4 linked regions of the Elephas maximus indicus genome follow. The protein of the gene in region 3 purifies or fractionates together with the protein of the main gene of each other region. This does not show direct contact. Links are inferred from orthologs where the notes say so. Each region holds a gene or a part of one and is shown on either strand. Other genes may lie near its edges. The genes, in order: POLR3G, POLR3F, POLR3B and CRCP.

Region 1 (7,959 bases), on a different chromosome or scaffold from region 3:
ATTAGTGCTGAGCACATGGTCTAATAAGGATATCACTCCATTTCACTTCCTAGAGGAAAAATATCCAAACTATAGTAAGCACTGTATTTCCCTGCCAAGAATATCCTAACACATAACTGTCTTTTAAGGCAGCTTCTCAACAATGTCATTCCTCAACAATCCCTTCCATCTGTACTCTTATAGCACCTCAATTTTACTTCCTCTGTAGTACATATAGGAAACTCTGGTGGTGTAGTGGTTAAGAGCTACGGCTGCTAACCAAATGGTCAGCAGTTCGAATTCACCTGGAGCTCCTTGGAAACCCTATGTGGCAGTTCTACTCTGTCCTTTAGGGTTGCTATGAATCAGAATTGACTTGACGGCAACAGGGTTAGGTTTGTGGTACATATAAGGAGCCCTGGGGGCGCTGTGGTTAAGCGCTCCACTGCTAACCAAATGATCAGCAGTTCAAACCCACCAGCATCTCCATGAGAGAAACGTGTTAATCTCTTCCGTAAAACTTACGGCCTACGTTAAGACAACACACAATACAGGAGAGGTCAGCACAATTGGACTAAACCAAAAACAAATAAGTTTCCTAATAAACTGAATGCTTCGAAGGCCAGTGTAGCAGGGGCAGGGGTTTGGGGACCATGGTTTCAGGGGACATCTAAGTCAATTGGCATAATAAAATCTATTAAGAAAACACTCGGTATCCCACTTTGGAGAGTGGTGTCTGGGGTCTTAAAAGCTAGCAAGCGGCCATCTAAGATGCATCAATTGTTCTCAACCCACCTGGATCAAAGGAGAATGAAGAACGCCAAAGACACAAGGTAATTATGAGCCCAAGAGACAGAAAGGGCCACATAAACCAGAGACTACATCAGCCTCAGACCAGAAGAACTAGATGGTGCCTGGCTACAACCGATGACTGCCCTGACAGGGAACACAACAGTCAATCCCTGAGGGAGCAGGAGAGCAGTGGGATGCAGACCTCAAATACTCATAAAAACACCAGGCTTAATGGTCCATCTGAGACTAGAAGGACCCCAGAGGTCATGGTCCCCAGACCTTCTGTTAGCCCAAGACAGGAACCATTCCCAAAGCCAACTCTTCAGATAGGGATTGGACTGGACTGTGGAACAGAAAATGATACTGGTGAAGAGTGAGCTTCTTGGCTCAAGTAGACTCATGAGACTATGTGGGCAGCTCCTGTCTGGAAAAGAGTTGAGAGGGCACGGGGGGTCAGAATCTGGCCAAATGGACACGAAAATAGAGACTAGAGGGAAGGACTGTGCTGTCTCATTAGAGGGAGAGCAACTAGGACGGCAGTGGTATATAAATTTTTGTATGAGAGACTGGCTTGGTTTGTAAACTTCCACTTAAAGCACATTAAAAATTAAAAAAAAAAAAAAAATCACAGCCTAGAAACACTGTGGGGCAGTTCTACCCTGTACTAAGGTCTCTATGAGTCAGAATTGACTCCATGGCAATGGGTTTGGGTTTTTTTGTGGTAAATATCACACACTGCATTGTATTGCAAATATTTGTATATTGATATCATCATCCCTCAAATTCTTAAGTACCCAGATCATATCTTTCTTACACAATTCTGTTCTTCACACAGAATCTAGCTCAGGGACTTACACATAAGAATGCCCCCAAAGGGGCTGGATGAACCCCTAAAACTACTGTCCTGAGATAATTTTAAAACTTAAACCAAAAATATCCCCTGAAATCTTCGTAAAACCAAACAATAGTTTACCTTAGTCAAAAATGTCTGCCTTGAGCATTATGCTCTTTTAAGATCTATACCGGATCAAAGCAACAACAACGTTAGAGGGCAGTTAGTTTATGTTAATGGAGGAGGAACAACTCAGAAAAGGACGGTTAGAATGGTTGCACAACTTGAAGAATGTAATAATGTCACTTAATTGTACATGTAGAAACGGGTGAATGGGTGTATGTTTTACTCTCTTCACAACAACAAAATGAATGCCCCCAAAGGAGCGACTGGATAAATCTCTAACTTGATTAACAAAATCTTCATAAAGGCCACATCCCACCAAGCACCTTCACAAGGTAAGCAAGAGAGTAAACCTCTCTTTCCATGAGGCTTATTAGTACAGTTGCCAAAAAGGTTTTCATAATTACCTTTTATAATGCTGTCTCATGGGTCCCTTAATACTTTTTTCTGCTGCCGAATGGGGAGGTCAGTCAAGTTCTCACGGGAATTTTGAAGCCTAAACGAACGTTTAATAGCTGGAGGAGGACGGGGTGCAGGGGGTGGGGAGGTATAGGATAGGGATCAGGCATGAACAGTGGAGGTGATTTGTGTGGCTCGCAGGCCACACCCTGTTAATAGATGCTTTTTCCTTCCTCACAAGCTGCCTCCACCTTTCCTTAATCGAACCTTTATACTAACTTTCTCTGCTCTCTTCCAAGTGCCGATAAACTAGCCAAAAAATAAAATAAAAGGAGGGAGAGAAAAAATATAGAATTTCGTTTTTTAGAAAAGAAAAACCTTATTATGAGTCCCACGATACGGGGTAAAGTATCAACAGTTAAAACACTGTCCTCAGCTGTAAGTCTGCGGCAATGACTAGTGCCTAAAAAAATTATATGCCAAATCCCAGGATCTGGTACATCTCCTCCCACTAATAAAAACAAATTCCCTTCTAACTCACTGCAAACAGTCCCAGGAAATGCAGGCCAGGTAAGATATGGAAACGACGATTTCATGTGATTTTTAGGGGAGTAGGAAAAGGACAGGTAAAGCTATCTCCCAATGCGCCTCAAAGCAAGGGCTCTTTAAAGAATCTGTACTCCTGACTACCCCCATCCACTCCACGTGCCCCTTTAACTCCCCACTATGGTCCTCACGCTCGCCCAAAGGCCCCGATTGCTTGCTTCGTTACCTGGTCACTAAGGCTCGTGGCTTTGGCAAAACTATGCAGCAGAAGTGCCGGCCGGCAAAGAAAGGGTGCGAGCAGAGGGCGCCGAACCTTCGGGCCGCTGGTACCACTTTAGCAAAAGCGCGCTCCGCCCTCCACGCGGCCCCGGAACCGCGTTAGGATTCCAACCAACTAGCCCCGCCCACCCCTTAGCTAAGCCCCACCCCCTGAGCCAAGAGTTTTTTAGCCCTTGGCAGGCGCCGTAGTCGCCGTCTAACCGGTTGGCCTGACTCCGTGCCGCATGAGAGTGAGCATTGAGACGCGTTGGGGGTGGACAGGCCTGGTGCAGCCTCCCACAGCTCAGTCTCTGCAGTCAGACCCCCCGGGGTGGGGAAAGTATCTCTTGTGCAGTGGCTCCCGTGCTGCGGTTGCACAGGCTACTACTGCTCCTGCGCCCGAGTGCGGCTAGTGCTGCCCCCGCGCTCTGCTGACCTGGCGGGAGGGGCCCCACCTCCTCCTACCTCTCCCCCTGCACCTCCCTGCATCCTCCGCCCCTCGCTCTGCGCCTGCTCCCAGGCTGCGGGCAGACAGCGCCACAACCGCCGCAGAGTCGCGGGTCTGGCCACAGTGCAGGAGGTACACACGCCCACACCTACCTCGCCCGGCCGCACCCCTGCCCAGGATGTCGGCGCTCGAGTGGTATGCCCACAAGTCCCTGGGCGACGGTATCTTCTGGATTCAGGAACGCTTCTACGAGTCGGGCAACCGGGCCAACATCTGGCTAGTGCGCGGCTCGGAGCAGGACGTGGTGATCGACACCGGCTTGGGGCTGCGCAGTCTTCCTGAATACCTGTATTCCTCCGGCCTCCTGCAGGACCGCGGGGCCAAGGACGAAGCAGAACGCCGGCCTCTGCTAGCGGTGGCCACACACGTGCACTTCGACCACTCCGGCGGCCTCTACCAGTTTGACCGGGTAGCTGTGCACCACGCTGAGGCCGAGGCTCTGGCTCGCGGGGACAACTTTGAAACGGTGACATGGCTGTCCGACAGCGAAGTGGTGCGAGCGCCCAGCCCTGGCTGGAGGGCCAGGCAGTTCCGAGTGCAGGCGGTGCAGCCCACCCTCATCCTGCAGGATGGTAATGAGTCCCCCCATGGGCGCGCGCTGTCTAATTGAGAGAGGGGATGTCCGAGGGATGCATGTTGCAGACCTGCATGGCTGTAATGGGGGCTCGTTTTAGCACACCACAGAAACGCCATTTCTGTTTTAGCTTTCCCCGAGTAAATGCCCACCTTTCCAGAGCCACGGCAATCACAGTCTTCCCTACCTGAGACCAGCTTTGGCCCCTTGAAGCGGTTCCTAGAAGGGCGGTGAAAACCGATCCCACCCCCTAGTCAGTTTCTTGTGTCATGAATAGTGGTAAGACTACGGGGACTTGTGACTGAGGCTTTCCCATTCCTTTTCCAGGCACCTTTCTGACATTTCTGGGTGTTTTTGTAGCTAGAAGACTTCCAACGAATGACACCTCACAAAGTGCGTGTCATGCTCTATGCTTTTGAGAAACGCTGACTTTATCTGTTCGGTCACCACCTAGTACGAGCAATTTCCACCTGTAGGCTTAGAAAGCTGTCAGAGTGCAGAGGTTCCAATCTGATCATGCAACCCTACCTTCCAGATTTCTAATCTTGCTGTTGCCTCACTAGAGAAAAAGCTTGATTGTAAACATAAGGGTAGAATATGCTTTGAGTCTTGTGTTAAGATAGATATCTGTTGTGGTCGAAAGCAAAATTCGAGAAGGATTAATAAGGAGATTGCTTCTGGTGGTGGTGGAGTATGTAGCCTAATGCATAGATAGTCCTAGTTCTCTTTGGCTCTGTGAAGGACGGAATAGGATTCAGAGAAAAACTCATGGAATAAAACACAGTAAGGCCCCAACCTGTTCCCACCCTCAGGAATTAAATACTTGAGGTAATTGGCCACAGGAGCAATATCTGGCATATTAATTTCCTTTTTTATTTTTAAATACTTTTTTTTTAATCTCATTTTATCCTTAACATATTCGAAGTGAAAAACACTGGCATCCAATAAAATGACTTGCCTAAGATCCACAAAACAAAATAGTGACAAAAGCTAGGATTTGAACCAAGGTACAATAGATGAAAGCGTGCAGAACATACATAAATCCTACCACAGAAATATTATAATTCTGAGTAGGATGCGAAACCTTTTCTTTTCACTTTGACACCATCGTTACTAATGAGTCGAAATAAACTTGACAGTAGCAGGTTTGGTGTTTTGGTGTGTGAGGTAGAAAAAATCCAGCTGCTGAAGTACAGTAAGGTACTAAAGCTCATTTTATGACCAAACAATATCACAAAAAATGAAATAACACAAAAACCAGTTTATCTTATGGACAGGGTTTTGATCATCTCAGATGCTAAAAAAATAGAAAGGAAAATTAACATCTCATTCCCCCACTAAAAAGTTTTTTCATCGAAGAACTGATTTAGATGGGGGAATCTTATGTTACCTGACATTATGAGGCACAGGAGAAATACATTTACATTAAATTTACTTTTGGTTCTTGTATTTCTCGATATAATTAATACTTTCAGAGGTAAGATTTCGGCACAGTTGATGGGTATGCAGACTCAGTTCTGGCACTCACAACAAAAAATATTTACATTAGTATTAAAATATATTTGAATTGTTCTGAAGATTACTTTTGATCCTATGCCAGCAATGGGAAATCAAGGATAAAAAAATGATAGGGATTATTGTTTTATAGATGAAGAAAATCTGTTGCCATCCAGATGGTTCTGAGTCATAGCAACCCTCTAGGACAGAATAGAGCTGCCCCATGTGGTTTCCAAGCAGCGGCTAGCAGATTCAAACTGTTGACCTTTTAGTTAGCAGCTGAGCTCTTAACCACTGTGCCACCAGGGCCCCTATAGAGGAAGAGAGAGTTTAAAACAGGCCTGACTATTGTGCCTGAGATCACATAGCCAGTTTGGGAAAGAGTTGGAACTAGAACCTAGTTCCCATTAGAACCTAAAATCCCAGTACGTGGTATAATCAGTGTTTTGGAGGTGTAAAGAGACTGCAAGCTACTTGTGTGACACTTTAAGCCTTTTTAAAGTGTGAAAGAAAGCTTAATATTTACCGAACGCTTTCAAGACGATAATACTGTGTTATCAAAAGTTGTTTTTCTTTGGGAGTCAGAAGCCTCACTCTCTGACACACTCCTCCCCCATTGCCATTGAGTTGATTCTGACTCATAGTGACCCTACAGGACAGAGTAGAATTGTCCCATAGAGTTTCCAAGGAGTGCCTGGTGGATTCGAACTGCTGACCTTTTGGTTAGCAGCCGTAGCCCTTAACCATTATGCCACCAGGGTTTCCTCACCCTCTCAAGCAGTACCTGATTTCCTCTCTTCTTAGGATATTACTTTCCTGTATCTTCTAAATGATGTGGTCTGCTAACTTGTTATTAACAGACTCCACATGCCTAGAAGGAGATATAAAACATTTATATTAAAAGTTCATACACAGTTACATACTCGTACTCAAAGAGCTCTTAAGATAAGGTCTTCATTGCTTTGGTTAGAATACAAGGAGATGGAATTCATTTTTTTTTTTCCTTAATTACTTTTCATTTAGTGCACTGTTTGTCGTGGGGAATGATAAATCTGTATTCTGTATCACTGATCCAAAAGTTGTCTCGTAAACGAGGTAGCTACAAGGAGTACGAGGGAGAAAATAGCCATATCACTAAAGTCGTTATTTTTGTCAGAAAAACAACTCACCTTGTTAGTAGTTGTCTTAGTCAACTAGTGCTGCCATAACAGAAATACCACAAGTGGATGGCTTTAACAAAGAGAAATTTATTTCCTCACAGTAAAGTAGGCTAAAAGTCTAAATTCAAGGCGTTAGCTCCAGGGGAAGGCATCCTTTCCCTGTCAGCTCTGAAAGAAGGTCCTTGTCCTCAATTTTCCCATGGTCGAGGAACTTCTCAGGCGCAGGTACCCCGGGTCCCAAATGATGTGCTTTGCTCCTGGTGCTACTTTCTTGATGGTATGAGGTCCCCAACTCTCTGCTTGCTCTCTTTCCTTTTATCTCTTAGACATAAAAGGTGGTACAGCCCACACCCCAGGGAAACTCCCTTTATATTGGATCAGGGAAGTGACCTGAGTAAGAGTGGTGTTACAATCCCACCCTAATCCTCTTAACATAAAATTACAGTTGCAAAATGGAGGACAGCTACATGATACTGGGAATCATGGCCTAACCAAGTTGATACACACGTTTTTGGGTGGACGTAATTAAATCCATGACAGTAGTGAACTAGTATCTTCCTAAAAAAAATAGCAATATACCTTAGACTTATACGGCACACTCTTGAATGAGCACACATCATTTTACCTATTTTTTACAATATTAAAGTGACATGAAGAGTCTAGGCGTTTTTGTCTGTTTCATGTGCCTATGCAATTTACCCAGAGTCACCAAGACACTGTCTAGACCAACATTAGAATAATTGTAAATATTCTGTGTGTTAGAGAGTGGTTCTCGGTAGATTTAAATCACTTGTTGTTAGCAGCCATTTAGTTGGCCCCAACTCACGGTGACCCCATGTGCAATGGAACTAAACACTGCCTGGTCCTACGTCATTTCCATAATTGGTTGTGGATCAAACCAGTGTAATCCATGGGGTTTTCATTGGTGATTTTGGAAGGTTAAAAACAAAAAATACAGATTCCAGAATGCACATCTAATTTGGCTCCCTCCCACATCCCACCAACCATTAATAAAGGAACTGTGTTTTGTTTACTTGGCTTGTTTTAAGTATAAATCCACACTGACCGAGAGAACTATTTTGGATGCTAGAAAGCAGATGTGAGTTAGCAGTTTTATCGAGGAGAAATCAAAAGCCAGTCCAAAAAGGCCCCAAAAAATCAGGAAGTTGCAGTACCAGGTAGCTGAGTTGAGGCAAAGGGAAGGACACTAAAATAAGTAGAATTGGTTGAAAGACGTTTAAGAAGTTGTTAAAACGCTAGATTCCCTCCCCCTAAGTGAATGTCCATTCCC
Region 2 (7,413 bases), on a different chromosome or scaffold from region 3:
GAGAGAACATGCGAAAGCAAGCTGTAACACTGAAGATGGCGAGAAGTGGTGGCAGAGAAACGGCAGCAGCAGAAGGCCAGCAAGAGAAGGCATGGTGGGCTTCCTAGCTCATGGAGCAAGAAAGCTGAGTGCCTCTGGGTACTTAGTGAAGCTAGTGATTTTGGACCGAGGCTTACTGGTAGAGTGCGGTGCCTTTGTGCACTTATCTGCAGAGCTAAAAGAGCTTTGTAACATTTGCCTGAGCAGAACAGAGGCCGAGGGGCCAGAGAGAGGCGTGCCTGTGGGCATGGCTAAGAAAACGTTGTCCTGATGAAAGAACTGTATTCTGAGCATTCCTGAACCTGAATTGTAACCTGTTACTTCCTTAATAAACCCCATAATTTTGAGTATTATCTGTGAGTTCTGTGGGCCACCGCAATGAATTGTTGAACTCAGCAGAGAAGTAAAAAGTGCTGTGGGAGGGACAGTTGGTATCACAATTGGCAAAGATGGCAGAGACAGAAGACATGTCTGACCTCTGCCTCATAAGAATCAGCCTTGGGCTCAACACCTTGATTCTCCTTCCCCCTTGTGAAATTAGAGGAGGTTGTGGCAGTGGGAAATGTTCTTTTTGTCCTTTGATCACCCTCTCAGCTCTTTCCTTCCTGAGAATGATCCTTAGCACCTTCCTGTCTTTCGCCATCTCTGCAGCCCCCATCCACTGCCACAACCTCCCAGAAGCTCTCCCTCTACCTTTCCTGGAGCTGAAGACCTTCATGGAGAATTGACTAAAAATACCAACATTCCTCTTCCCTTGGGCTAGAACTTGTAATTACAGTTTAACTGGGATACTGCCATATGCATTTGTTTATGATTTATCCATGGCTACTTGCTAAAACCATAGAATCAGTAGTTGTGACAGAAACCACACGGCCCACAGAGTTTAAAATATTTACTGTCTGGCACTTTACAGAAAAAGTTTGTCCACCCTTGAAGTAGAAGGTTGAAGGGACTGATTTAACAGAAGGCTCACCTGTCTCCATATCCACAGTCCTTAAAAATCCAATAAAAATGCTCGCAGGAAATGGGAGTTTTGATGATAGAAAAATGGGAGAAGAAACAGGTAGACTTAGAGCACTGGGTACTAGTAGGTGGGGTGATTCTGGACAGTTGGAGGAGAGCAGCATTAGGGTCCCAGGTTCTTAAGGAGGACAGAAAAAGAGGTAAGGGCAGGGAGAAGGGCTTTACTGAAACAACCCTCTGCTACCTCACTGGAGCCTGAGGCAGCACTTCTTTCCAAAGGCTCAAGACTACTGAGATGCAACTGGGCTCATTTCTGTTTCCTGAAATGCCCAGGGTAAGATTGATACCCTGATGAACTGGCTCTGTGAAAGCTGGAAGGAAGGGCCCAACAATAGGAGTAAGAAGCAGACAGAAGGTGAGCACAGACTATTATGCTTTCACGTCCTTATGTACCTTAGTGACGATTAGATTAAAAAATACAATAGTTAAAAAAAAAATAACAAAGTACTACTTATTTTCATTCCTCTTGTAACCCCTCCCCAAAAAATAACCTATAATTTCTTCTTCCCTCACTTTAGGTAGCCTGTGCTGTTTTACGGTTTGTAGTTGTATCAGTTACAACCGAACACACCTTCTGATTTTATGGCTACATAACAGGAAGTATTGACAACCATGACAGGTAAGTAATTACATGCATGAGTTTGAATTCATCTTACCATGGACAACAGTCTATTGATGGCCACTGCCCGCTGCTGGGCTTCTATATGAGGCATTTCATTCTGAATTACTTGGTCTGTGATTCCATGAGGGAACTGGTGACATAACTCTATAATCCTAGGAACAAAGGCGTTAATGATATTATGCATGTTTGCCTGTTTCAAGAGGCAGGAGGGGAAATACAAGCAGGATGGTTTGAAATTGTCCTTTTTTTTTTCCCACTTTTGGCAGATAATCTGTTTCTATAATGATTCCAAATCAAATCATGTAAGAAATTCAGACACATGCTTTCTAAATACACATTTACATTATTGTTGTTGTTTAAGGGGAGTACTTCTTTCCCTCACTTATTTCAACTTTAAAATAGAATGAAAGTTAAATGAAAACACGGGGGGAAAAAAAAGCTGAGGCTTCAATTTTCTCAGATGGAATAACTGTGACAAAATTAAGTTGTAGTGCATTCGATAGCCATAAGCCTGTAAAGAGAAGGCAACTCCAGACACTTGTGGTGGGAAGCCAAAACTTGTTATGGCATCGTACCATAACTGTGAACTATTTGGGGGATTATCCTTACCAAACAAACGTAAACCCAAATCTTAACTTCATCACAGGCTCATCACATCTGTGTTATATATAACCGTTTGGGAAAGTTGAGGGTCTTATGAAACTATAAAATCTAAAAACAGCAGTGCGCTGCCAGAGAATGTAAAACTAGGACAGACTTTAGGTGTCCTGAGATCTTAAGTTCAATAACGCACCGAAGTAATCACAAAGTGCAGCCCTCGCTGCGCTCGAACGTTCTGCTCCGGGAGTTCCCTTAGTGACAAGACAGATCCTGGATCGGTGCACGTATCCCCAAGCATTACAGCCGAACCCAGAGGGTGTCCTTTCTGGCACTGATCACCGTAACGTAGGAAGGAAGGCATCATCCCAACTTCGCAAACAGCATCAGGGCAAAGTCAGCTACACAGAGTTGCAAGCTGTCAAGCTCGTTTTGAACTTAAGAGTTCTGGTATCCGGGGCGGGAGGGGAGGGTCCAGACCCCCGCAAGCCCCTTCACGTGTGCTCATGGATCCCGGAACCTAGACTTGCTTTACCTGTTTTCTATTTCGACCGGATCCGCGTCGGGCGGCTGCACCTTCACCTTCACCTCAGCCATGAGGGAGCAGATCCGGGCCCGTGCGGGGAAGACGAGCACTGAGTCGCCGAAGAAAACGCCCACGAACCCGGGGACCGACGGTGGACAGCTCCCCGCCGGGGGACAAGGGGCCTTCTTCCTCGTGTCGCAGCCAGTCCTTGCTCGTCGGTCGGCTTTAGGCGGCCAAGTCACGCCTGCGCCGCCTCGCTCGCCGGCGCCTCTACGTTTGTTACGCTCTGCTTGCTTTACCGAATGGTCATGCCTGTCGGACGAACGAGACTGGTTCCTCCATTCTACGTGGCGACATCAGCTTTTAGCACTTTCCAGCCTCCGTGAAGGCATATACCCGGACGCCTAAGTAAAGCCCCGGCAAAGGCGCGGGAGGGGCGCACCCCGTGGAGGCCCCGCTGCGGGGGCGGAGCTGGTTACTAGGGAGCGAGCTTTCCGCCAATCACCTGCCTCGCTCTCAGTGGGCGGGGCGCGGCTTGCGGCGTCGGTGGTAACCCGGGTCGCCGCCGCGGAGCGGGAGCGAGGAGGTGAGAGAGCAGAGACGGGCTGGGGGCGGTGGAGGTCCCTCGGTGGGGCCCGAACGGGGGCTGGGTGGCCCGAGGAGGAGGAGGAGCAGGAGGACCTTCCTCACTCCCGCCGAAAGGATGCGGGCGTCCTCGGCTGCAGCTGACGGACGGGGGCGGGGACCTTGCAGGGTACTGGATCCGGGCGGCGAGGGAGTTGGGTGTTGGGTGCTGTTGACTCAGCGCTGCTGTTTGGGTTTCGCTGGTCGGCGTCCTTTTGGGTCTCTTTCACGTGGGGCCTGCTGGGCGCCCCAGCCTCCCAAGGGCAGCTGCTGTGGCGGCACGCGAATGACTTCCTCTCGAACTAGTTGTATTTTGAACTGATTTCTCAACTATTTTTATTTTAACTGCATCTTACTTGAATGGAAATATGGTGATGGGCAAGCCCCGCAAGCCCTGCAGCACTTCTGTAGGGACTATTACTCTGCTGTCAATATCTGCGGTTTAAATTCTTGGCCTCCAACCTGGAGCATTAAGTTCACCCTTAAATTTATTTATCCCACTTTTGGTAATAGAGCCTGTGTCAAAACTTGGGCTACAAAGATATTCAGAGCAGCTTCCGCAACCACCAGAAGTAAAAAGCAACTAAAAATAGCCTAAATGCCTAACCACAAATTGATAAATAAGTTTACATAAGGACACAGAAAACTGAATAATCAACTGAGGGTGCAAGAAGTGGGCTGTAAAAATTGAATGAATATATAGATTATAATCGAATATATAAATTATAATCAAGTAATCTGGATGTAGCCACAATCATTGAATTTTCAGAAGGCATTGCATAGCTGTAGATGGTTGCTGTGATATGGAGATTGGTTTTATCTTCTGAAACCTCATTTTTTAAAAATTATGACACTTTCCCCTAGGAAAAAGATCAGTAAGGCTTCCATATTTGTAGCTAGTACAATAGACGGAATGGAAGATTGTGTTTGTTGGTAACCGTTAATATCCATGCCAAGTTCCTTTCAGCTTATACTCTACAGTCCTTCTAAAGTTTCCTTACAGCTTTGAAGTGCAAGAACCACTGTGGTGACAACTGTAGCGCTAAAGACCTGGCTTTTCCCAAGGAGTTGGTTCTAAATTAACATTTCGTGCTACATACAGATTTAATTTCTGTTCCTCTGCTGTGATGACTCGTCCCAAAGCTGAGAGAGGTTGTACACTTACAGGAGGCTGGAACAGGTGATGATGATCAAGTGGGAACTCAGGGCAGATCATTAGTGATGGTCTCTGTTCTGCCTGATTCCTTTAATTTGCGCATCCCTCGGTCCTGTTGATTCGTGTTCTTTTCCCAGAAGTGAGGTGAGTGTTCAGATAATCAAAGCTCCACACAAGACTTCAACAGCAAAAATACAGCTGAAGCGTAATAACTACTTCAATTGAAAATTGACTAATATTTGTAGGAGAGACATGGTTAAATCCCTCAGCTGCTAACTGAAGACTGGTGGTTCGACAAAGAAGGGCCTGGTGGTCTACTTCTGAAAACTCTGTAGAGCACAGTTCTACCCTGACACACACTGGGTCCCCATGGTTTGGAATTGACCTGATGGCAACTGGTTCAATATTTGTATTAACAGTAGTCTCTGTTTCTCTCTCTCTCTCTCTCTTTTTTTTTTTTGTTACTAGTTATGCTGCACTCTAAATGAAGTGCTTTTCTTCCACTTTTTTGTTCAAATATAGATACACGTTGGAATTTACTTTTATCCACTTTCTTTTTTTAAAGTAAGGAAAAAAATGACTGCTGGTTCAGTGTGTGTCCCTCAGATCATACCACTGCGAGTGCCTCCGCCCGGAAAAGCCAAACATGAAATTGATAACAATACACTTTTGGAAATGAAATCGGGTAGGAATCAAATGTATTTGAAATCATTTAAAATAACATTGTCATACTCTTTACACTTACCTGGTTCTTCACTTACTTCTTTGCATGCTCTCTATAGTCAGTACCTTGGGAAATTTGTAAATCTTCCAAAATTTGGAACAGTGTGATATTTTGATAGCTAATAGAGTCATGTATACTTAGATTAAAATAGTTGGCTTTGACCAACCTTTCTTTGGGGTAAGTACATGTTGCAGCTATGCCTCAGCTTACCTCAGCTAAGGTAAGATGTCCCAGTCGAACCCCAAACTTTCCCAGGATGCCCATTATTTTGCTAGAATAATAAATTTGACCTGCTTGCAATTTAGACATGTTGGGGACTGACCCCTGGCATGACAGTTTCTAATGACCTTAGACACATTACTTAGCCATTCTCAGTCTCAGCTTCTTCCCTGTAAGATATGGATAATGACATCTACCAGTTAGAGCTGCTGTGAAGATTAAATGAGTTGAAATATACGTGAGATGCACAAGGCCTGGCACGTAGTGATGCCAAAATAAATCTTAAATATTATTATAGAAATAAAGTGGCAAATATATTTCCTGGTAATATTTAGTCTTCAGGCTCTTTCTGCACACGCACACACAAACAATTAACATAAGGAAAAGGGAAAGTTTTATAGATAAAACGTGGACGAATGCCCTTATTAAAAAGTCTTCGAAATTCCAACTGTATATTTTAATAGCTGAAACATATAAAAACTTTTTATCTGTATTTATGTTATAAGCCCTGTGCTTCCTAGACCTAGAGTTGCAGTTAACAATATGCTACATTATACTATGTCCGGCTTTATTTCAAAGGCTAATGTGATTTTTTAAAATTCTCAAGCAAAAATAAAACTTCAATATATATGCATGTAAGTCTTAGGAGAAGTGGAGTGGTTGTTGATAAATGATGATAAGAATGATAAGGTATCCAAATGTTCTAATATTGAAAAGTTCTAATAAACAAAACATTTCCACAATTCAATAACAAAAAGAAGAATAACCCAATAGGAAAATGGGCAAAGGATGTGAAAAGACATTTTATAGGAAAGAACATATAGGTGCCTCTTAAGCATATGAAAAGATACTTCTACACATCTCTTCACCTGCTTTCTGAGTAGACCTTGTCCCCCTTACCTTCCTTCATAGCATTTATTCACCGCCTGACAGTATGCATTGTTTGTTGGTTTATTGTTTGTGTGTCTCTCCTAGAACGGTGCCTGGCACATACTAGGTACTCAGCAAATATTTGTTGAATGAATGAATGAATCTTACTCAATATACGAGAATTGTGAGTTAAAACTACAAGATACTACTTTTTGTTGTTTGCCTAGGAGATTGGTAAAAAGAAAAATCGATAACACTATTTGGGTGGACTGTGGGTAAGCAGGCACTTCCATGCATTTCCCGTGGGAATGTAATTGTTTCCTCCTCAGTGGAGGGCAGTTTGGTGATATTAATCAAAGTTGCAAATGCACATATCTTTGGACCCTGCAGTACTACTTCCGCATATTTGTTTTACAGCTGTGCTTACAAAAGGAGCTCTTTACAAGGATATTCGTTATAATTCTTGTAATGGCCAGAAGAAAGAAAAGAAAAAGAAAGCCTAAATGAGGGTTGATTAATTTATAGTTCTTTCATACAAGAGAATATGGTGCAGCCATACAAAAGCATGAGGAGGCCCTTTATGTGCCCATATAGAACAATATCCAAGGTATAATCTAAAATGAAAAATGAAGTGTGTGGAACAGGATGTGGTGTGCCACAATTGGTGTAAAAAGAGAGTGAGAAGTAAGAATATGTACATATATACTGATGCGCACTTGGGGATACTCAAGATATCATTTGAATCATATGAATTTATTATCTTTAAAATTTTTCCCCAAAAAATGTAGGAATCATTTACCAAGTCCAAATAAAACATAACAAAGTACAATGCATGGAATAGAGGAAGAATTTAATTATTGTTACTCATTTTTATAATATAAATAATAGATGTATAAATTTTCCATAAATAACTGACGTATAGGCATACCTCAGGGACTGGCTACTTTTGAACCAATTACAGTTATCCTGTTTTATATTTTTCAGACACCCCAGATGTCAACATATATTATACC
Region 3 (7,472 bases):
TGAGTCTTGCTATAAAGGAGAAGATAGAAATTGAACAGTAGTTGAAGGGAGAAACAGCATCAAGGTAATTGTTTTTTAAAATGGGAGAAATATCAACATGCTTGCATGGTTTGGGAAATATCAAGTATAGAAGGAAAATTGGTTGTTGCAGGAAGGTGAGAGACAGGCTGGAGGGGGTGATTGAGTGGGACAGAAGGGATCACGGAGCTGGGGGGACAAGGGCACAGACAGTTCACCGCAGTAACAGGAAGGAAGGAAGAGCACGCGGATACACACTTTTAGGTGGGTCACTTTTGGAAGGCATTTTCAGAAGTTCTCTTCTAATTCCTTCTATTTTCTTAGTGAAGTAAAAGAGGGAGCATAAAAAACCAAACCCATTGCCATTGAGTTGATTTGACAGGACAAAGTAGAACTGCCCCCATGGGGTTTCCAAGGCTGGAATCTTTACAGATTTCATTTTACTTGGATCCACAATCTACGCCCGTGGAAGCAGCACTCAAGAAATCAGATGACACATTGCATTGGACAAATCTACAAAAGACTTCTTAAAAGTGTTGAAAAGCAAAGATATCACTTTGAGGACTAAAGCGCACCTGACCCAAGCCGTGATATTTTCAATTGCCTCATATGCATGAGAAAGCTGGACAGTGAATAAGGAAGACTGAAGAATTGATGGTTTCGAATTATTGTGTTGGCAGAGAATGTTGAATATACCATAGACTACAAGAAGAATGAGCAAATCTGTCTTGGGAGAAGTACAGCCAGAATGTTTTTTGGAAGCAAGGATAGCAAGACTTTTTCTCACATACTTTGAACATGTTATCAGGAAGGGCCAGTCCCTAGAGAAGGACATCGTAATTGGTAGAGTGCCAGTGAAAAAGAGGAAAACCCTCAACGAGATGGACTGACATAGTGGTTGCAACAATGGGCTCAAGCATAACAACGATTGTGAGGATGGCACAGGGCTGGGCAGTATTTTGTTCTATTGTACATGGGGTCACTATGAGTTGGAACTGACTCAATGACACCTAACAACAACAACAAATCTTTATGGAAGCAGACTGCCACAGCTTTCTCCTATGGATCAAACCACCCACCTTTTAGTTACCAGCTGAGCTCTTAACCACTGTGCCAGCAGGGTCCTTGAGAGGGAGGACAGGGAAGGTTTAAGGCAAGTCTAGGTGAAGTGGAGAATGGACTAGAGAGACTATGTGACTGTACAGCAGCATTAGGGGTCTACATGATGTTAACCATTAACCAGTTGCCATAGAGTTGATTCTGCCTCATGGGGACCCTCTGTGTGTCGTAGTAGAACTGTGCTCCATAGGGTTTTCATTGGCTGATTTTTCCGAAACGGATTGCCAGGCTTTTCTTCCAAAGCACCTCAGGGTGGACTCGAACCTCCAACCTTTTGGTTAGTAGTCAAACTGATTGTACCAGCCAGGGACTCCTACATGAAATTAGTTGGCATGAATTTAAAGTGAAACCAGTTCAACATGGTTGCATTGCTCCCTCCTCATTCACTTGCATAGGTGCAGACGTGGAGCAGGCACAGGGTTGGCTTTAGTCAGGGCTGAGGTCTTGCTAAGCACGCAAGTGTGGTGTGGAAATGACAGAAGGCAACGTGTAGAGTGATGACTGAGCACTGATGACCGGCACCTCAGCAGATGCCATCATTATAGATGACGTGAAAGAAAATAGACCTGCCCTTCCTCATGCCCTCATCCTATGAAAACCCGCTGGAACTTAGATGGGACCCCAAATTAGAGGAGATCGTGTTTCTGCCTACTCAGGGGGAGGAGGGCTGAAAGTAGAAATTAGGGTCAGCTGTAGAAAAATAAAGTTGTACCTCTGTTTGGCACACTGGGGTTTGAGCTTCGAGATTATCCGCTATATGTATACTACCAGACGTCACGTTACATTAAATTTATTTTTGTCTTCCCACATGTTTGTGGATAAATGACTGGTTGAAATGCCCTTAAGATTTATTCAGGCAGAACCGGTTTTGTACAAATAACGTGTGTTTCAAGAAGAAAAAAATGCACATTATTAGACTATATATTTAGTTTTGATCAAAATTACATACTTCAGTATGAGTTACCTGGATTTTTTTAGCCAGGTATATTTTTTATATCCTCTAATTTTTTTTTCCTGATTAAAAAAATATATATAAAATGTTGACAATATACAAAAATGCAAAAAAGAAAATAATAAATAGAATCAGCCCTGAAGCTGCCAGTGATAGATAACCTGTATTAATATTTTGATGTGTTTACTCCCAATATTTTTTTTCTGTTCCTATCAAAGTGCCTTGAACTTAGTAGAAATCAATAAATACGTGTTGAACATCCATATTATAAAATTACTAACTTGAGTTCATCATGTACATCTATAATTTTTACTGTATTTTTCACTTGCCATTCTATTGATAATTTTTCCATGTATTAAAATTTTTTGCATCTTTTTTTTTAAACGGCAGTGGTTGCTGATTTCCCCCCACAAAAAGGAAAATAGCTTTATTTCAATGATAAAAATTACACATTTTCTGTAAAACATTTAAACAATACTGGAAACGGTAAAGAATAGCAAATCACACCAACCAGGGATAACCAGTTACAATCATTCCCTTTAACCCTCTGCACTGACGAATGCATGTAATGTACATAGGTGGGACATTATTCATGTAACATGTTTTTTCTCCATTCTCACTTATCAACAGGTGTGGCCATCTATGTCAAAAACAGAGATTTCTGCAATTACTTCAATGGATGTTTATCATTGCAGTGTATCAATGCATCATCATATCAGCTACTCAGCTGACATCTAGGTTGTTTCTTGTATTCTGCTTTTATAAAAAATGCTTCAGTTGGACGATCTTGTACATACATGTTTGTACAGATTTTCAGTAATCTCCTTAGAATAAATACCTGTAAGTGGAATTGCTGGGTCAAAGGAAAAAATACATATATACCTCTAGAAAGATTGTAGCATTACAGTAACAACATACTCTCCCTCCAGCAATGTAAGAGAGAGCCTGTTAGTCTACTTTCTGGATAACACTTGATAATGTAAATCTTATCTGTACCAATTTGGTGGATGAAAAATGATTTATTTTGTTTCCATTTGCATTATGAGGTTGAATATATTTTCATATTAGCCATTTGCTTGTTAGTATCTTTTGCCTAGTTTTTCCCCTGTGATTTTTTTCCCCCTATTGATTTGTATGAGCCAAGTGTAAATTAAAGGACACAGCAGTTAAGCACTTGGCTGCTATCCAAAAGGTTGGCAATTTGAACCCATCCAACAGCTCTGGCTTCGCAGGAGAAAGACCTAGTGATTTGCCTCTGTAAAGTACAACTGAGAAAACTTTAAGGAGCAGTTCTACTTTGTCACGTGGTGTCGCTATGAGTGGAAATTGATTCCACAGCACCTAACACCGACAACATTGTAAATTAGGAATACCAATTTTTGTCTTCTGCCAACTTGTTTTTAAAAATCTGTATTCATGATGATTTTTTAAACATTTGTACAGACAATTTTAAATTTTTCATGAAATTAAAAAATCATGTTTAGAATGATCTCTTATGCTAAACTCTACCATGATTTTCGTTCATGATTTCTGATTGTGTTGCCACCTTGTCAGCACCTGTTCACCACCTCAATGGTATGAATATATTCACCTGTATTTTCTTCTAAAGTTTTGCTAACATTTAAATACTTAATCCAGTAGGATTTACTTAGACGTATTTTTTTTCCCTAAAGGATAATCATTTGTTCCAACATCATTTATTGAATAAGCCATTTTTTTCATACTGTATTTATTGCTGGGTCTTCTGTCTAGTCCTTTGAGAATACTTATCACTGTGGTGTTACTCTCTAGTGTGTTCATTCCTCCTCCCTTCAAGGTCATTTCGGTGGTTATATAATAAATTACATGCACGTGCCATACTTTAATCCCTTATGAGGCGTTTGGGAAGTTTCCTATTTTTTCATAAAATGTATACAGTTTCAGATTGAATTAAATACATTTTCTGCCTCGTTGGCCTAAGATGCGCAAATTATCCGTTCACAATTTTCCTGGAATTATTTTAAAAATTACAACCAACACGTCTTACTGGCTTCAATTATTTTAATTGGCTATGAGCTCTTTGGAAAACCTGGTAGCATACTGGTTAAGAGCTATTTCTGCTAACCAAAAGGTCCGCAGTTCGAATCCGCCAGGGGCTCCTTGGAAACCGTATGGGGCAGATCTACTCTGTCCTATAGGGTCGCTGTGAGTCGCAAAGGGTTTGGGCTGGTTTTGGTATGAATTCTTTGGCAGGGGGTTGGGATTACCCCGGCAAGACCTCCGAGCTACACCAGAGGGCGCAGTTCTCCGGCTCCGCCTCAGCCACATCCGGGTTTCCGCAGAGGTTCGGGCAGGCAGCAGACGGAACCTTTCCGTTGTGTGCCTGATAAACCTGCCCGGCGGGATGATTTAGGTCTCCGCGCACAGCTCTCCACGGATGCTGCAATTTGCTTGGGGCAGCGAAGCCGGGCGTGAGGGTTCTGTCTGCTGCTTCCTTCATCGTGAGCAGAGTGGGCAGGATGGACGTGCTAGCGGAGGAGTTTGGGAACCTGACCCCGGAGCAGCTAGCAGCTCCGATCCCGACGGTGGAGGTGAGCCCCGGGCACGCGGGGAGCGGAAGGGACCGGGACGCGTCCTCAGGGGGCGTTGCCCCGAGAGCTCTCGCCGCAGAGGGCCACCAGCGGCTACTGCGCATGCTCACGGGTCCGCGCGTCCGGGTTCTTTCGCGTCGCGGCCGCCGCGTGCACGTGGAAGGGCTGAGCCGGGACGAGTCGTCCGCCGCTGTGGGGCCTGGGAAGGCTCGCGGGGGCCCTGAGGTGGACCCCTTCCCGGGCACTGTTCGTGTGTCTGGGAGGATTGGCCTTTGCACCCACGCGGGGGGACGTATTACACCTCCCCAGCCTCATGGAGAAGGAGCCAGGGCCCCGAGGAGCTTAGGTTCCGAGCTCGTTGTAGCAGTAAAACCAAATCCTGTCAGTCTCGGGCTGGGGATCTTTCCTTTTAGCCAGGAGTTCAAATGTGGGCTACTGAGATATTTTAAACGCCCCGAAAATTAATCCAGATTTTTGCCTATGTGTGCGTTTGTTTTTCTGGGGAGAAGCTCCGTAACTTTGATCAGATTCTCAGAAGTTGAGGGTAACCGGCCTGCAGTGAGCTGCCTAGTGAAGTTCAGCTACTGAAATAGTTTTATTATCTGGAAAGGCGCGTATTATATCTGGTTGGTATGGAATGGGAAGGTGGAGAAATGAGGCTGGAGAAGATAGGGGAGAGATTTCAGGTAGAGAGAATACTTGAACCCTTGTAGGCAAGACCATCCGATGTTTATGAAGAAAAAGACAGGAGCAGAGATGCGCTGGTGGAGCAGTGGTTAAACGCTCGGCTGCTAACTGAAAGGTTGGCAGTTCGAACCCACTGGGAGAAAGATATAGCTGTCTGCCCTCCTTAAAGATTTCAGCCTTGGAAACCCCGTGGGGCAGTTCCGTTCTGTCTTATAGGGTTGCTATAAGTCGGAATTGACTGACAACTTTTTTTTTTTAAAGAAATGAAAGATGGGTAGGTAATGAGCGCCATTATGAAAGCCTTTGTTAAACATATGAAGGAGCTTGAACATTCTCCTGGGGGCAGTGAGATGCGATTGAAGAGTTTAAGTAGGAGAGTGAAATGAACAACTAATGTATTAGATTGTAAGAACCTCCTTGTAATCATTTGGCAACTCTGTGAAGTCAATCAAATTCAGTCTATGAATGCCCGCCTTACACTGCTGATCACCAGGCAATGCTGGATTTTAACTCTTGAAGAGTTAGTATTAATAGCATTTACTGAGCACTTACTATGTGCTAGGCATTGTTTAAGCATAACATGTATTATGCTGTTTAATCCTTGGAAATAAGTAGTTTTCACCCCGATCTTGCCAATGAGGTTTTGAGGCCCAGAAAAGTTAAGTAACTAGCCTAGTGTCAGAATCTGGTAGGTGATTGATCCAGAATTTGGACTCAGGAAGTCTGACTCCAGAGTCTTCCTCCTTAACTACTGACTGGATGACTTCACCAGATAGCTGAAGAAGGAGGCCTGTTGTTGTTAGGTGCTGTCGATCAGTTCTGACTCAGCGACCCTGTGTATAACAGAACGAAACACTGCCCAGCTCTGTACCGTCTTCGTGATCATCATTATGCTTGAGCCCATTGTTACAGTAACTGTGTCAGTCCATCTCATTGAGGGTCTTCCACTTTTTTGTTGACCCTCTATTCTACCAAGCACGGTGTCTTTCTCCAGAGTCTGGTCCATCCTGACAACATGTCCAAAGTATGTGAGGTGAAGTCTTGCCATCCTCGCTTCTAATGAGCATTCTGGCTGTACTTCTTCCAAGACAGATTTGTTCATTCTTTTGGCAGTCCATGGTATATTTGATATTCTTCCCCAACACCGCAATTGAAAGGCAGCGATTCTTTGATCTTTTTTATTCATTGTCCAGCTTCACATGCATGTGAGGTGATCGAAAACACTGTGGCTTGGGTCAGGCGCACCTTAGTCCTTAAAGTGGCATCTTTGCTTTTTAACACTTTCAACAGGTCTCTTGCAGTGTATTTGCCCGATGCAATGTGTCCTTTGATTACTTGACTGCTGCATCCATGGGCGTTGATTGTGGATCTAAGTAAAATGAAATCCTTAACTACTTCAGTATTTTCTGTTTATCATGATGTTGCTTATTGGTCCAATTGTGAGGGTTTTCATTTTCTTTATGTTGAGGTGTAATCCATGGTGAAGGCTATAGTCTGATCCTCATCAGTAAGTGCGTTAAGTCCTCTTCACTTTGAGCAAGCAAGGTTGTGTCATCTGCATAACACAGGTGGTTAATGAATCTTCCTCCAATCCTGATGCCGTCAATATCTTGGGTTATTTGCTCAGCATACAGATTGAATAAGTATGGTGAAAGGATACAACCCTGACACACAACTTTCCTGACTTTAAACCAATCGGTATCTCCTTGTTCTGTTTGAACGACTGCCTCTTCGTCTAAGTACGTGTTCATCATGAGCACAATTAAGTGTTCAGGAATTCCTATTCTTCGAAATGTTGTTCATAATTTGTTCTGATCCACACAGTTGAGTGCCTTTGCATACTCAGGAAAACATCTTTCTGGTATTCTCTGCTTTCAACCATGATCCATCTAACATAAGCAATGATACCCCTTGTTTCACATCCTCTTCTGAATCTGACCTGAATTTCTGGCAGTTCCCTGTTGGTGTACTGCTGCAACTGCTTTTGATGATCTTCAGCAAATTTTACCTGTGTGTGATATTAATGATATTGTTTGATAATTTCTGCATTCAGTTGGATTACCTTTCCTTGGAATGGGTACACATATGGATCTCTTCCAGTTGGTTGGCCAGGTGGCTGTCCTCCA
Region 4 (8,022 bases), on a different chromosome or scaffold from region 3:
GTTACAAAGTTCTCTAGCTCCGCCAATAAGTTCCTAGAGACACCCTACTCTGCCCGGAAGCTTTGGTCTTAAGGTGCTCAGCTCACTGGCTCTGTGTCTGCACACCCGCCGCAAATGCCTTACTCCACGGGCCAAGAAGCTCACTGTGCCTTCTGGCGCCAGCCTCCTGGTTCTGCTGCCGCCATCTCTTGCCATCTCCAGTGTTGCAGCTCTCTGTCTCCTGGGTCTAGGAGGTTCTCAGTGCAGGGATCCCGAGTTCAAAGGATGAGTTCCATTCCTAGCTTTTCTTTCTTGGTAGTAGTGAGATTCCCTTTTCTGCCTCTGGGATAGCTCATTTTAAGCCTAATGGGATGGCAAAACTGACCAATCCCCTCATTAGGGTTCCATACACGTTATTTGCATGGCCCCATCCCCACAAGGGTGCCATGTACCTTATTTGCATTAGCTACAAGTTGCCCAATCCCCTTGGTGGGCCACAAGCACCTTATTTGCATAGCCCCACCCAATCATTGTGTGGGAATCACAAAGAGTATGCCTAAACGGACCATATTAAGTAGTTCACTGCACTGTAATCCTAATAAGGAATTTGGATTTCCTCTAAGTGCAATGGAAAGCAAATGAAGGGTTTTACAAAAGGGGTGATACAATCTAATACTTTAAGATCGTTCTTTCAAATGAAATGGAAGTGGACAAGAGGGGAAGCCAAATGCTGTTGCTTAATCCAGACAAGAGATGAAGGACTAGAAAATTAGCAGCAGAGATGGTGAAAAATAACTACATTCAAAACGTATTCTGAAGGTGGAGGTAACAGTCCATGATGGACTGGATTTAGGGGTGAAGGAAAAGGGGACTAGATTTTTGGTTTAAGCAATTGAATGGGTAATGGTCCTAATAACTGAGATACAGGTTAGGTTAGGTAAGGACCAGGAAGGGAGCATAAGTAGTTCTGTTTTAAAACTGCTAAGTGTGAGTTGCCTTTTAGACATCCAAGTGGAGGTGTCAAGCAAGTAGAAGAGAACAGGAGCCTAGAGCTCAAGAGAGAGAACAGAACTTAGAAACATAATTTTAAGAATAATCAGCATATAGGTGGGTAAGATGACCAAGGGAGAGTGTGAGAGAATGCATCCCAGGACTGAGCCCTGAAACTTCAACATTTAGGAACCAAACAAGGGAGAGGTGGCTCCAGGAAAGGACTGAGTAGTAGTCCTTGATGTAGGACGAAAACCAGGAGAGCATGCCATAAAGCCAATGAAGAGTTTCCAGAACAAATGAGTAGGTAAGTATAGCAATTGCTGCTGAGAGATCAAGAAAGGTGAAGCCAGAAAATCAACCTTTGGATTTGACAAGACAGAAGGAAGACTCAGGTCATCTTCACAAGAGTCACTTCTGCACACTGGAAAGGATGAAAGTCCAACTCAATGGCTTAGAGAGTGAGGATAAACAGCACTTCCAAGAAGTTCTGCTGTGCCAGGAAGCAGAAATGAGGCAGTAGGTGGAGACCTGAAAGTGGACTATTCCAAGGTATTTCAAGATGTATAAATTAAAACAGGTTTGTACGCTAACAGGAAATGCTCTAGCAAAAACGGAGAAATTGATGATGCCCGCTTGGACCAGAATAATACATAATTAGTGTTTTTCAAGGTGTAGATTGAACCCCATTGTGGGTTGTGAAATCAATACAGTAGGTCATGTGGACATCCTTTTTAATGAAACAGAACAGACAGTATCAGAGTGAACTGCATACAGTAAACATTGTTTCATGTAACTTTTGTTTCAATTACGCTTAGATGTGTTAAGGTTAAAAAAAAAAAAGGTCTGCACAGCATATAACCATTAAACATAAGATGAAAGAACACAAAATAAAATGTGTGTATTAAATAATCAGTGCTATACCAAAAACCCAAACGAAACCCACTGCCATCGAGTCAATTCCGACTCACAGCGACCCTACAGGACAGAGTAGAACTGCTCCATAGTTTGCAAGGAGTGCCTGGTGGATTGGAACTGCCGACCTCTTGGTTAGCAGCCGTAGCACTTAACCACTACGCCACCAGGGTTTCCATCAGTGCTACGGAGAACACAATATAGGTATGTCTTCAAGTTAACGTCAACCACGTAAAAACCCATCCGCGGGGTTGATACAAAAACTTCTATTTGCATGTAGTACAATGGGCAAATATGGAAAAAACAACGTCGAGTTAAATTGTTAGAAGAGCTTTTACTCTGTCCTGTAAACACGCAAGAAACCCTGGTGGCCTGGTGGTCAAGTGCTATGGCTATTAACGAAAAGGTCAGCAGTTCGAATCCACCAGGCGCTCGATGTAAACTCTTTGGGGCAGTTCTACCCTGTCCTATAGGGTCACTATGAGTCGGAATCCACTCAACAGCAATGGGTTTGTTTTTTTGTTTATTTTTTTTAATAAACACAACCCCACACAGGGCTGTTTCTCCAGTCGAGGCTCACGCTCTCCCTAACTGCTCGTCAAACTTGGATGGCACCTCTCCCGAGTTAGGAAGGCACAGGGGCCTCCTGCCCGCAGGAGCACTTCCATCCCAGCACTTCTCCGCCCCCCTCCTGGTACTCCCAGGGGTGTACTCCTCTCCGAGTCCCCGCTCGGATACCGGCCCGGGTTTCCCACTGTGACCCAGAAAACGCTTTTAAACGAACGGGGCAGAGAGAAGGCACAGAGGAAAAAGCAGCCGGGCCCAGGGGCGCTCGGCCCGGTGTCCCAGGTACAAAGGCTCGGACGGAAGCACGAGTCTCTCTCTTCTGCGCCCACCTGGACCCCACGGGCCCTCCCCGACTGCGGTTCCCCCATGCGACGGGTCGCCCCATCCTCCCGTCTCTCGGCTTTCAACGGTCCAGTCGCCCCTAGCTGTTAGCGCCGGCTCCAGACTCCAAAACGCGTCCCGGGTGGCTTACACTTCCATGTCGTCCCCGTCTCGTCGCCTCCGGCCGCCAGGTGACTAAAAACCTCAACCTGAGCCGCCACAACTCCAGCTCTCCACGCTGAGCACCCCCTGTCGCCGGTCTGCGTCGCGGTGCATGCTGGGATCGCCGCGCTGCACGCCGGGAGCCCTCAGGGGGCGGTGATGGGGCGGGGCTTCAGGGAGCAGGAAAGTATCTGTTTAATCAGCGTGTTGGGTACGCGAATGCGTTCAGTGTCTGAAAATTCAGGGAGTCGTAGACTTCTGTGCAGTTTTCTGTACGTGTGTTACAATTGAATAAAATGTTTTTTAAAAGTGGAAAAAAAAAATCCCAGCCCCCCCCCCCCCCAACCCGTTCCCATTTTTCCTTGAGGGTTTACTGGCAAGAGATATGAAGAGCCTTAAAGCCAGCCACAGTCTCTGACTGTGGGGCCTTTCTGGGAATTTCTCCAAAGGGAATTATCAGATGCTTGAAAGAGAGAGATGTATGTGTAGTGATGTTTTTGCTGGGAAATGACCGAAATGCCCAATAATGGGGAATCGATTGAATTATGTTACAGCCATACAATATATGCAGCCATGAAAAATCATGTAAAAGATGTGATATGCTAGGAAAATACTCAAAGTAGGATTGAAAAACATACAAAACAACGCGTGCTTCTAATTATCTACAGAAAAATAACCAACCAACGAAGCAGTTGCAGTCAATTTGATTCTGACTCGTGACGACCCCTGTGCCAGAGCAGAACTGTGCTCTACAGAGTTTTCAACGGCTGATTTTTCAGAAGTAGATTGCCAGGCCTATCTTCAGAGTGCCTCTATGCATAGGAAAAAAAAATGCCTAACGGTATGGGAGGTAGAGCTATCCGATTTATTACATTTTATGACTTTAAAAAAAATGGCGATTGTGGTGGATATCTATTATCATCTTCGTATGTTTGAAATATTTCTTTAAAAGACTGGAAGGAAATATCTGAAATATTAATGATGGCAGGTGCCTTCTGATGATGAGTCAATTGCTGATTTGTTCCTTTTTTATACTTTCACGTTTATTGATTCTCAAGCTCATTCTCTTTGCAAGGCCCTTGCTAAACAATTTGTTACTCCATGGAATTACCAGTTAACGGTGCGGGCTTTGCAGTCAGAGAGCCCGTGTTCCTGTTTACCCCCAGAACTTTCTTAGAGGATGTTTGACCTTGGGGACTTAACCTCTCCCAGCGTCAATGACCTAATCTGTAAATCATAAATCTGTTAGGTAATCCATATAAAGCTCAAGAAATTTTAAAAGTACACCCATGACACTCTACCCAACCCAGTTTCATTATTATTCACATTTTACAATTGAGGAAACTGAGGCAGAGGCTTGGAGAGATTACTATTTACCCAAGTTTCTCACCTCCAAACTTGTCCAGTAGGGATTCAAACCACACAATCTGAACAAATACAGGAGGCATATTAAATTGTTAATAGTGACTGGTGAATTGATAAAGTGTCCTATATTCATACAATAAAATAATACCATTTGGAATAAAGTACTTACTGACACATGGTATAACGTGAATGACCCTCAAAACCATTGTGCTAAGGGAAAGAAGTCATTGTATGATGTCATTTCTATGAAATGTCCAAAATAGTCAAATCTATAGAGACAGTGTTATGGATCGAATTGTGTCCCCCCAAAATGTGTGTCCACTTCCCAGTATTGTGTGATTGTCCAGCATTTTGTCATCTCATGTGATTTTCCTATGTGTTGTAAATCCTACCTCTATGATACTAATGAGGCAGGATTAGAGACAGTTATGTTAATGAGGCAGGACTCAATCTATAAGATTAGGTTGTATCTTGAGTCACTCTCTTTGAGATATAAGAGAGAGAAGAAAGCAGAAAGACAGAGGGACCTCATAGCATCAAGAAAGTAGTGCCAGGAGCAGAGCACATCCTTTGGATCCGGGGTTCCTGTGCCGAGAAGTTCTTAGACCAGGGAAGATTGATGACAAGGACTTTCCCCTAGAGTTGACAGAGCGCGAAAGCCTTTCCCTGGAGCTGGCACCATGAATTCAGACTTCTAGCCTCCTAAACTGTGAGAGAATAAATCTCTCTTTGTTAAAGATACTCACTCGTGGTATTTCTGTTATAGCAGCACTAGATAACCAAGAAAGATGGAAAGTAAATTAGGAGTTGCTTATGGCTGGGGGTGAGGAGGGGAATTAGACAGTGGCAGCTAATGGGCATGGGGTTTCTTTTAGGGGGTTGAAAATGTTTCAAAATTGAATTGTGGTGATGGCTACACAACTCAGTGAATATACTAAAAGCATTGAATTTTCCACTTTAAGTCGGTGAATTGTACGGTATGTGATGTGATACATCAACAGGGAACTGCCAGAAATTCAAGCCAGATTCAGAAGAGGACATGGAACCAGGGATATCATTGCCGATGTCAGATGGATCCTGGTTGAAAGCAGAGAACACCAGGAAGATGTTTACCCATGTTTTATTGACTATACAAAGGCATTCGACTGTGTGGATCTTAACAAACTATGGATAACATTGCGGAGAATGGGAATTCCAGAACACTTTATAGTGCCTATGAGGAATCAGTACATGGATCAAGAGGCAGTTGTTCAAAAAGAACAAGGAGATACTGCGTGGTTTAAAGTCAGGAAACGTATGCGTCAGGGTTGTATCCTTTCACCATCCTTATTCAATCTATACGCTAAGCAAATAATCTGAGAAGCTGGACTATATGAAGAATAACGGGGCATCAGGATTAGAGAAAGGCTCATTAACAACCTGCGATACGCAGATAATACAACCTTGCTTACTGAAAATGAAGAGGACTTGAAGCACTTACTGATGAAGATCAAAGACTACAGTCTTCAAGAAAATATTCTGCATTCCACTTTGGTAAGTAGTATCTGTGATCTTAAAACCTACCGAGTGCCCATCTAAGATGCGTCAATGGGTCCCAACCCACCTGGAGCAAAGGAGAGTGCATAACACCAAAGACACAAGGAAAATACTAGCCCAAGAGACAAAAAGGGCCACATAAACTACAGACTCCATCAGCCTGAGACCAGAAGAACTAGTTGGTGCCTGGCTACCACCAACGATGGCCCTGACAGGGAACACAACAGAGTCCCTAACGGAACAGGAGAAAAGTGGAGTGCAGAACTCAAATTCTAGTAAAAAGACCAGACTTAGTGGTCTGACTAAGCCTGGACGAACCCCAGAAGACATGGCCCCTGGATGCTTTGTCAATCCAGAACTAAAACCATTCCCAAAGCCAACTCTTCAGACAAAGATTCAATTGGACTATGAGACATGAAATGATACTCGTGAAGAGTGTGCTTCTTATTTCAAGTGGGTACATGAGACAAAATGGGCAGCTCCTTTCCGTAGGAGAGGTGAGAAGGCAGAAAGGGACAGGAGCTGGTTGAATGGACACGAGAATACAGGGTGGAAAAGAGGAGTGTCCTGTCACATTACAGGGAGAGCAACTAGGGTCAATAATAATGTGTATAAATTTTTGTATGAGAAACTAACTTGAGCTGAAAACTTTCACTTAAACTACAATTAAAAAAAAAAGAAAGACTACAGGCTTCAGTGTGGCTTACATCTCAACATAAAGAAGACAAAATCCTCACAACTGGACCAATAAGCAACATCATGATAAATGGAGAAAATACTGACGTTGTTGAGGATTTCATTTTACTTGGATCCACAATGAACAGCAGCCACCTTTCAGTTAGCAGCCAAGCACTTAACCACTGCGCCACCGGGGCTCCTTCCGTTAACGTTGTTGTTGTTAGGTGCCATCGAGTCGGTTCCGACTCATAGTGACCCTACGCACAACAGAACGAAACACTGCCCAGTCCTGAGCCATCCTTACAATCATTGTTATGCTTGAGCTCATTGTTCCAGCCACTGTGTCAAAACACCTCGTTAAGGGGTCTTCCTCTTTTCCGCTGACACTGTACTCTGCCAAGCATGATGTCCTTCTCCAGGGACTGATCCCTCCTGACTACATCTCCAAAGTATGTAAGACACAGTCTCGCCATCCTTGCCTCTAAGGAGCATTCTGGCTGCACTTCTTCCAAGACAGATTTGTTCATTCTTTGGGCAGTCCATGGCATATTCAATATTCTTCTCCAACACCACAATTCAAAAGCGTCAACTCTTCTTCTGTGTTCCTTATTCATTGTCCAGCTTTCACATGCATATGATGTGATTGAAAATACCATGGCTTGGGACAGGCGCACCTTAGTCTTCAGGGTGACATCTTTGCTCTTCAACACTTTAAAGAGGTCCTTTGCAGCAGATTTGCCCAATGCAACGCGTCTTTTGATTTCTTGACTGCTGCTTCCATGGCTGTTGATTGTGGATCCAAGTAAAACGAAATACTTGACAACTTCAATCTTTTGTCCGTTTATCATGATGTTGCTCATTGATCCAGTCGCGAGGATTTTTGTTTTCTTTATGTTGAGGTGTAATCCACACGGAAGGCTGTGGTCTTTGATCTTCATTACTAAGTGCTTCAGGTACTCTTCACTTTCAGCAAGCAAGGTTGTGTCATCTGCATAACGAAGGTTGTTAAGGAGTCTTCCTCCAATCTTGATGCCCCGTTCTTCTTCATATAGTCGAGCTTCTCGTATTATTTGCTCAGCATACAGATTGAATAGGTATGGTGAAAGAATACAACCCTGACGCACACCTTTCCTGACTTTAAACCACTCAGTATCCCCTTGTTCTGTCCGAACAACTGCCTCTTGATCTATGTAAAGTTTCCTCATGAGCACAATTAAGTGTTCTGGAATTCCCATTCTTCGCAGTGTTATCCATAGTTTGTTATGATCCACACAGTCAAATGCCTTTGCATAGTCAATAAAACACAGGTAAACATCCTTCTGGTATTCTCTGCTTTCAGCCAGGATCCATCTGACATCAGCAATGATATCCCTGGTTCCATGTCCTCTTCTGAAACTGGCCTGAGTTTCTGGCAGTTCCCTGTCGATATACTGCTGCAGCCAGTTTTGAATGGTCTTCAGCAAAATTTTGCTTGTGTGTGATATTAATGATAAAAATTGTTCTATAATT

What was found.
Region 1: the proteins of POLR3B (region 3) and POLR3G fractionate together in Homo sapiens (co-fractionation; 4 studies listed by BioGRID and IntAct, with this or other methods). This does not show direct contact. The link is inferred for Elephas maximus indicus from reciprocal best matches to the Homo sapiens genes POLR3B and POLR3G.
Region 2: the proteins of POLR3B (region 3) and POLR3F fractionate together in Homo sapiens (co-fractionation; 4 studies listed by BioGRID and IntAct, with this or other methods). This does not show direct contact. The link is inferred for Elephas maximus indicus from reciprocal best matches to the Homo sapiens genes POLR3B and POLR3F.
Region 4: the proteins of POLR3B (region 3) and CRCP purify together in Homo sapiens (affinity purification with mass spectrometry; 5 studies listed by BioGRID and IntAct, with this or other methods). This does not show direct contact. The link is inferred for Elephas maximus indicus from reciprocal best matches to the Homo sapiens genes POLR3B and CRCP.

What each region holds. Positions count from the first base shown.
Region 1 is NC_064820.1:97,121,394-97,129,352, reverse strand, and holds the start of POLR3G (DNA-directed RNA polymerase III subunit RPC7), read right to left. Parts: upstream 3,052-7,959; 5' UTR 2,898-3,051; intron 2,887-2,897; exon of another isoform or gene 2,223-2,886; 5' UTR 2,134-2,222; intron 1-2,133. Other genes in the region: acyl-coenzyme A thioesterase MBLAC2, read left to right, coding at 3,556-4,009. UniProt on the Homo sapiens protein: DNA-dependent RNA polymerase catalyzes the transcription of DNA into RNA using the four ribonucleoside triphosphates as substrates.
Region 2 is NC_064843.1:59,142,240-59,149,652, reverse strand, and holds the start of POLR3F (DNA-directed RNA polymerase III subunit RPC6), read right to left. Parts: upstream 3,106-7,413; 5' UTR 2,879-3,105; coding exon 2,817-2,878; exon of another isoform or gene 2,478-2,816; intron 1,837-2,477; coding exon 1,719-1,836; intron 1-1,718. Other genes in the region: DZANK1 (double zinc ribbon and ankyrin repeat-containing protein 1), read left to right, coding at 5,164-5,272, 7,385-7,413. UniProt on the Homo sapiens protein: DNA-dependent RNA polymerase catalyzes the transcription of DNA into RNA using the four ribonucleoside triphosphates as substrates.
Region 3 is NC_064822.1:173,470,269-173,477,740, forward strand, and holds the start of POLR3B (DNA-directed RNA polymerase III subunit RPC2), read left to right. Parts: upstream 1-4,402; 5' UTR 4,403-4,587; coding exon 4,588-4,659; intron 4,660-7,472. UniProt on the Homo sapiens protein: Catalytic core component of RNA polymerase III (Pol III), a DNA-dependent RNA polymerase which synthesizes small non-coding RNAs using the four ribonucleoside triphosphates as substrates.
Region 4 is NC_064830.1:103,355,603-103,363,624, reverse strand, and holds the start of CRCP (DNA-directed RNA polymerase III subunit RPC9), read right to left. Parts: upstream 3,042-8,022; 5' UTR 2,932-3,041; coding exon 2,924-2,931; intron 1-2,923. UniProt on the Homo sapiens protein: DNA-dependent RNA polymerase catalyzes the transcription of DNA into RNA using the four ribonucleoside triphosphates as substrates.